Arabidopsis thaliana: one gene and its partner. The protein of the gene in region 1 interacts with the protein of each later gene in a biochemical or structural test. Each region holds a gene or a part of one and is shown on either strand. Other genes may lie near its edges.

Region 1 (3,934 bases):
TTCATCCTATAGAACATCATATGAATTGATTACTTAATGAAGTTAAATTTTTGAAAACTCTATTAGGGACAATGTCCCACATCGGAAGTTGAGTAGGATCTTAAGTGGTATATATAAGATATGAGCCTCTCCACCTATTGCCAATTAGTTTTACGTTGGAAGCCCACAGTCTGATATGGTATCAGACCCCGATCCGCACATACTCAACCCGATCCACATCGGTCCGGCCCAATACTTGGCCCGCCGATCCATGCCCAAACATATCGAGATCAATGGCTAGAAGAACCATCATCTCGAGGGGGCGTATTAGGGATAATATCCCACATCGGAAGTTGAATAAGATCTTAAGTGGTATATATAAGATATGGGCCTCTTCACCTATTGCCAATTGGTTTTAGGTTGGAAACCCACACTCTAATATGGTATCAGAGCCTGATCCGCACATACTCAACCCGATCCACATCGGTCCGGCCCAATACTTGGCCCGCCGATCCATGCCCAAACATATCGAGATCAATGGCTAGAAGAACCATCATCTCGAGGGGGCGTATTAGGGACAATGTCCCACATCGAAAGTTGAGTAGGATCTTAAGTGATATATATAAGATATGAGCCTTTCCATCTATTGCCAATTGGTTTTATGTTGGAAGCCCACACTCTAATAAACTCAATACAAATACTAAAGTTGCAAACAACTATACTATATTTGCTTGAAGTTCTATTGTGATAGGATTTTGACTTACAAAAATCATATTCTATGTCTACACTATATATTGTGAAACCGGATAGCCATAATATTTACAAAAACTTAAACTAATTTCAGATATAAATAAATTTAAATTTCACTATGACCTAGTAATTATCACGAACAATTGGGAAGTTACCACAAAATGGTGGTCCTGTATTATGGAATTTAGCGAAACCACACACTTGCGGGTAAAAATAATGATGACAAAATGATATACATTGGAATGTAGAGAAAGTATATACAAATACTAATAAATAGAAAAGGGCATGGAATTGACGAGGATCGAGGGAAAGTGTGGTGTGGCAGAAATGTTATTAAGTGTGAAAACAACTGATGAATGAGCCTTTGCTTAATCACTTCCATGCACAAGTCCCTTTCCTCTTCCTCTCTCTCCCACTTCATCGAACTTTGCGTCCTTTAAAGAAAAGAAAAAACAAAACATTTTTCATCCAATTGAATTCAAACCGTAACCAGATTAGATTTAACTTCGTTTATTTTACATTATCTTCTTCTTCTTATTTTGCGGAGAAGACTTGTACAATGACCTCAATACGCTGAAGAGTTGGATTCACTGCGAGTGTATATGTGCATATAGAAACAAAATATCTAGCTATATGACCACTTTTAACTCTAAATATGGGTGTAATATGCCAAGGACTTTCTGGAGATCCACCACAACACACATTCAAGTTCAAGTTCTGCTGCTTTTAGGTCTATGAAAACAACACCAACCTTATTTTCATATTGTTCTCTCTTTATCTCATGCATAAGTATATTTTCATATTGTTCCCTCTTTATTTTCATGCTTTTAGTTGATATTTTTTTTGTTATTGTATTATCATTAGTGCGACGACACAAAGTCACAAACCATGTAACAAAATGCTTAACCAAAATAGAAAACCTTAACAATTCCAATATATTTTCTGTTATTGCATTATCAATTATCATCAAATTTTTTTCCACTGTTGCATTATCATCATTGCGACGACACAAGGTCACAAACCATGTAACAAAATGCATAACCAAAATAGAAAACCTTAACAATTCCAACTTTAACATGTGAATTAATATTATCTTAATTTTTGGATGTTCGACATTCAAATAAACTCCTAATTAAACCCTATAGATATGGTTAATCTTCTATACATGTGTCACGTACGACACTTATTAGCCAAATTGAAGTTTTGTTTTTTCCGCAAATATATAAGCGGTTTAAATAGTTGGTAAAAAAAAAAAAAAGTTAGCATGTTTGTCGTATGTACATGTTTGATGCTGCACAAATCTTGTCGTTATAAAACTTTGAAATCTTTATATCTATTATTCCTCACCGATCGGCTACTAATTCAATGGTACTTGATAATGATAATTAGTCCCAAAGTAGAGTTTTTATCTGATTATATAGAAACAAAGACTAGTTCCGGTTTGATATATAGAAGAAAGAAAAAGGATGGATAGGAATAATAAAGAAGATAAACCGGTTCAAAAGGTAGTAAATGAGAATGCAGGTATGCAGCTTATCTCTACAATGGCCTCTTCATCACATGTCGCCAATTTGTTTAGGTACAGTGTCTCTTCATATTTACATAAATAGATATCTCTCTCTCTCTCTCTCTCTAAACCACATCTTCCTCTCCACCGTTCTTTCTCTTCCTTCTCTCTCTGGACTTCAACTTCTGGAGAAGTACAAGACATTTATAAAGTACTGCTCATCACCCAACACTAAACACAATTGTCAAAAGGGTGTGGTGGAAGGAGAATCTACTTCTATCTGAACATCGATCAGTCATATCTTTTCAATCAAATCAAAGCCCTCCTCTCTCTCTTACTCCTTTTTTGTTTTAAATCAAGAAAAAGACTCCATGTCGAGCATGTCCATGTCGTCCTCCTCAGCTCCAGCTTTTCCACCGGACCACTTCTCATCTACGGACCAGCTCTGTTACGTCCATTGCAGCTTCTGCGACACTGTCCTTGCTGTAAATTTTGGATTATTCTTATATCTCATCTCAATATTTCAAATTTATAACTCTAGCTAGGGTTTCACATGAATTACTAGTTAATTAATGTGTGATATTAATTGGCAGGTGAGTGTTCCTCCGAGTAGTTTGTTCAAGACGGTGACGGTCAGATGCGGCCACTGTTCGAACCTTTTGTCGGTGACCGTGAGCATGAGAGCTCTTCTTCTTCCATCCGTTTCCAACCTTGGCCATTCCTTTTTACCTCCCCCTCCTCCTCCTCCTCCTCCAAATCTTTTGGTACATCGGTTTCATTCATCGAAACAAATTAGGGTTCTTTCATAAAAAAAACAGAGAGTAATAATTAGGGCTTTTCTTCTCGAGAAACGCAAAATTGTGAAACTCAATCCAAAAATGTTTAATTTTGTTAGCATCCCGGGATAGATCTAAGTAGTTTGGCAATGGCTAGTTAACTAGGGTTTCTTTCGAAAACATCATATCAAAGTAGTTTGGTTTGATTAGTGTTTTAAGTTTTTTTTGCCAATTAGTTTGCTGATTTCATTTATTAGGAGGAAATGCGAAGCGGAGGGCAGAATATAAACATGAACATGATGATGAGCCATCACGCTTCAGCTCACCACCCGAACGAGCATTTGGTTATGGCGACTCGCAACGGAAGATCAGTGGATCATCTACAAGAGATGCCTCGGCCACCACCAGCCAATAGACGTAACCTTCCATCTTCTACTCTTTATTTCAACATCTTCATATATATATATATAAGAAAACAAAAACCCTAATTCACAAAACCTTATCCATTCATTTCTTCAACCTTTTATATATACACTCCAAAGAATCTCGTTTGTTTATAATGAATTTATAAGTTTTGATTTCATTTTTGTTCCCTCGGTATGTGACTTCTCGCATGCACTTTTTTTTTGGTCAGAAAACAATTTCGACAACAAAAGGAAAATTAATAAGTGATGTGTTTATCCCCCGGAAATCTAGCTAAACCTATAGATGCCAACTGATATAGTTTTGGGGGTAGATCGTAAGAAAGATAATGATGAAGTGATGATGATAACGAGCAAAGTGAGAGGGAGAGGGAGAGAGAGAAAGGAGGAAGAGTCGAAGAGTGATTGTTTTTTTTTTTTTAATTGTTTTTTTTTGGTGAATTTTTAGATTTTTTGGGGAGGCACAATAAAAACCAATAATGTTTTTTTTAACAAAAGGG
Region 2 (3,934 bases), about 14 Mb from region 1:
GTTTTATAAATATATGAACTTATGAAGATACATATTGAAGTTGTTTTGTTTGGGGGTAAAAAAGGTTATTTGAGTGTTATATGATAACTTTACTCAGAAAACGTACTTAGCAAAGGTAATTCGAAGTACCTTTGGAATCGAGTAAATACTGATAACTAGAAAAAATAAGATACATAATGGAGAAATAATTAAATATATTTGTATTTCTTTTTTGTTTAACAACGTACGTTTTATTATTAGCTAGTATACATTTACAACGGTTACGTAGATCATATAATAGCCATTTAAGATGTACAACATCTCATCTGGTTACTTCATTTATATAAAAAAAAAACGAAATCTCAACACATAGTAATGTATAATTACTTCAGTGGGGCTTCTCTTAAGACTTGTATTGAGAATATCCATATAAAACAAACTTTGTATTAAGATAATTAAAATTTTCTAATAGTAGGTATTGGGCTGAAGCCAAGATTAACATGGAGGCAGCTTTAAAATGTTTCCTTATATGATGCAGCCATCATTTCTACTCTACTCCGTAGCTCCAAACCCTTCTCGTAATTCACGTCTCTCATGCTATTCTTTTTGCTTTCGTCCTCCTCTCATGTGAAGCAATAACTATCTCTCGATTTTTTTTTTCAAATACCGAAAGCTAACTTTTTCAAATAAATGTCAAATATATTAATTTTCGTTTTGTATTTAGTATTTTATTTGTCAGCTAAGTATAGTGAGTTTTTAAGCTTACTCGTCGTATTTATCATATATTCATATACATATCACATTAGTCAAAGTAAATAAAAATTTGTTTTTGAAGAAAAAAAAAATACATATAACTGCGAGTCTGCGACTGTAACTGGACTTGCTTATTTTAGTTGATATGAGCTGAGTAAAATCACGTTGTCCCAGACCTTGCTCGCTACAATCGGCGAATGGTCTAACGTCCCGACACCTGTCCTCGATCCGCGGGTACTATATTCTTTGCAATGTGATGCACGCGCTGTTACTATTGGACAGTGTTTCTCACCTCACGACTGAGCCTATGCGAGTAGCGACAATCTCCGATTTGCTGTCTCCATGGTAGGGATTATCACAATCTCTGATTTTTTTTATCAGGAACAAGTAAATAAATAGCTTTGAGTTTTTGTTTTTTTTCTACATTCTTCGCCCAAAAGATGTAAGAAAATAAAGGATTTGAAACCTTGTTCTGTTGTTACTCCTTTAAATTCTTAAAAACTATAAATCATTATATCTTTGATCTGTTTCACAAACTAATCATATTCGTTGCAAAGTGAGAATTCGTCCCACTTTACTCTTTACACCGATACTAGTATTATAGATGTACAGCATAGTATTCCATATCTAGTTATTTAGTCAAAACTCTATATATTAAGAGGTAGGTTAATTAATTAAGGAGTAATTGAAGATTATAGAAAGAATAAAAAATACCATTTAATGGACAGAACCAAAGATAACTAACTATCATACTATAATGTTGAATTTCTTCCACGATCCAATGCATGGATAACAACATCAATCAAATCATACATTCATGCTATATAACATAGTTTTCAGTTACAAACTCTCTTTTTTATTTATTTCAGTTGTTCCTTTTCATGACCATATTAACATCAAATAATGCATTTTTTTCAACGTCTCTTGACTTACACCCACTAATATTGACAAATTGAACATCTATACGACTATACACACATAAGTTAAAAATGCATGCAAGTGCTAAGGGAATTTATAACATCTAAGGTTAATAAGACTAAGAAAGTATAAAATAAGAATACGTATTATGAATTTATGATATACTTTACTAATCTTTTTGAAAAATACTTTAATTTAATCTACTATAGGGGGTAAAAAGTAAAAAAGAAATAAAGATACGTTTATCCGCATATAGTACCTGGAAATAACAGAAAATAAAAACACAGGTAAGTACTTTGCCTGAGCTAGTATATGAACACTAAAGAGATACACACACACAAAAAGAGAGCAGAAACAAAACACACACACTTAAAGCTTTCGTCTTTACCTCTTCCCTTCTCTCTCTCTATCTAAAAAGAGTTCCGAGAAGAAGATCATCATCAATGGCGACTTCTCTCTTCTTCATGTCAACAGATCAAAACTCCGTCGGAAACCCAAACGATCTTCTGAGAAACACCCGTCTTGTCGTCAACAGCTCCGGCGAGATCCGGACAGAGACACTGAAGAGTCGTGGTCGGAAACCAGGATCGAAGACAGGTCAGCAAAAACAGAAGAAACCAACGTTGAGAGGAATGGGTGTAGCAAAGCTCGAGCGTCAGAGAATCGAAGAAGAAAAGAAGCAACTCGCCGCCGCCACAGTCGGAGACACGTCATCAGTAGCATCGATCTCTAACAACGCTACCCGTTTACCCGTACCGGTAGACCCGGGTGTTGTGCTACAAGGCTTCCCAAGCTCACTCGGGAGCAACAGGATCTATTGTGGTGGAGTCGGGTCGGGTCAGGTTATGATCGACCCGGTTATTTCTCCATGGGGTTTTGTTGAGACCTCCTCCACTACTCATGAGCTCTCTTCAATCTCAAATCCTCAAATGTTTAACGCTTCTTCCAATAATCGCTGTGACACTTGCTTCAAGGTTTGTTTGTTTTTTAATCGTTTTCATCAACATGATTGATATATATATAGTTTTTGCACTTGAAAAAGTTTTGATTTTTATTTATGTAAAAAACTGCAGAAGAAACGTTTGGATGGTGATCAGAATAATGTAGTTCGATCCAACGGTGGTGGATTTTCGAAATACACAATGATTCCTCCTCCGATGAACGGCTACGATCAGTATCTTCTTCAATCAGATCATCATCAGAGGAGCCAAGGTTTCCTTTATGATCATAGAATCGCTAGAGCAGCTTCAGTTTCTGCTTCTAGTACTACTATTAATCCTTATTTCAACGAGGCAACAAATCATACGGTACTAAGTATAGTCCATTTATTAATACTCATATATAGGTATATATGTATATAACTGTTGATCTTATTTGATTTAACTGGTGGGTTTAGGGACCAATGGAGGAATTTGGGAGCTACATGGAAGGAAACCCTAGAAATGGATCAGGAGGTGTGAAGGAGTACGAGTTTTTTCCGGGGAAATATGGTGAAAGAGTTTCAGTGGTGGCTAAAACGTCGTCACTCGTAGGTGATTGCAGTCCTAATACCATTGATTTGTCCTTGAAGCTTTAAATGTTTTATCTTTCTATATTGATTTAAACAAAATCGTCTCTTTAAAGAAAAAACATTTTAAGTAGATGAAAGTAAGAAACAGAAGAAAAAAAAGAGAGAGCCTTTTTTGGTGTATGCATCTGAGAGCTGAGTCGAAAGAAAGATTCAGCTTTTGGATTACCCTTTTGGTTGTTTATTATGAGATTCTAACCTAAACACTCAGACATATATGTTCTGTTCTCTTCCTTAATTGTTGTCATGAAACTTCTCTCTCCCTCTCTCTCTCTAAAGTTGTGTCAGATCTTGGGGCTTGTATCCATTTTGTGTTTCTTTAGTTAGGCAATGATCCTGTCATGATTCATGTTATCACCTAATTAATCCTCGGTTTTCGAAACGGTGTCATGCATATCTGATTAATCTTGTTATCTGGTGTGAGATAAATGTATCAAATTGCTCTTGTTTATAGCTTTTCCAATTAATGTCATTGCATAGCATATGGGATGTACAGCTTCGTTTTCGATTTATAAAATTTATACATGTGTTTGGTACGTACTGTTTTGTTTTGGATCAGAATTATAAATTTAGTACAGTATAAACTACTTTAAAAATTGGCCAATGAGAATTTTGAGTTTATCTTCTTTTTATAAGTTGATTGATTTTGCTTTGTTTATTTATAGAAAATATGAAATTTTATCAATTATTTTTGGGATGCTTTTTTATTGATTTTAG

The links.
Region 2: the proteins of YAB3 (region 1) and SPL form a complex in vitro, tested with the Arabidopsis thaliana proteins (one study listed by BioGRID).

The regions. Positions count from the first base shown.
Region 1 is NC_003075.7:73,763-77,696, reverse strand, and holds the start of YAB3 (Plant-specific transcription factor YABBY family protein), read left to right. Parts: upstream 1-2,120; 5' UTR 2,121-2,607; coding exon 2,608-2,721; exon of another isoform or gene 2,722-2,808; coding exon of another isoform or gene 2,809-2,829; coding exon 2,830-3,000; intron 3,001-3,269; coding exon 3,270-3,429; intron 3,430-3,934. UniProt on the Arabidopsis thaliana protein: Involved in the abaxial cell fate determination during embryogenesis and organogenesis. Regulates the initiation of embryonic shoot apical meristem (SAM) development.
Region 2 is NC_003075.7:13,681,619-13,685,552, reverse strand, and holds SPL (sporocyteless (SPL)), read left to right. Parts: upstream 1-1,958; 5' UTR 1,959-2,093; coding exon 2,094-2,624; intron 2,625-2,723; coding exon 2,724-2,957; intron 2,958-3,046; coding exon 3,047-3,226; 3' UTR 3,227-3,475; downstream 3,476-3,934. UniProt on the Arabidopsis thaliana protein: Transcriptional regulator of sporocyte development. Acts as an adapter-like transcriptional repressor recruiting TPL/TPR corepressors to inhibit TCP transcription factors. Required for nucellus and embryo sac development.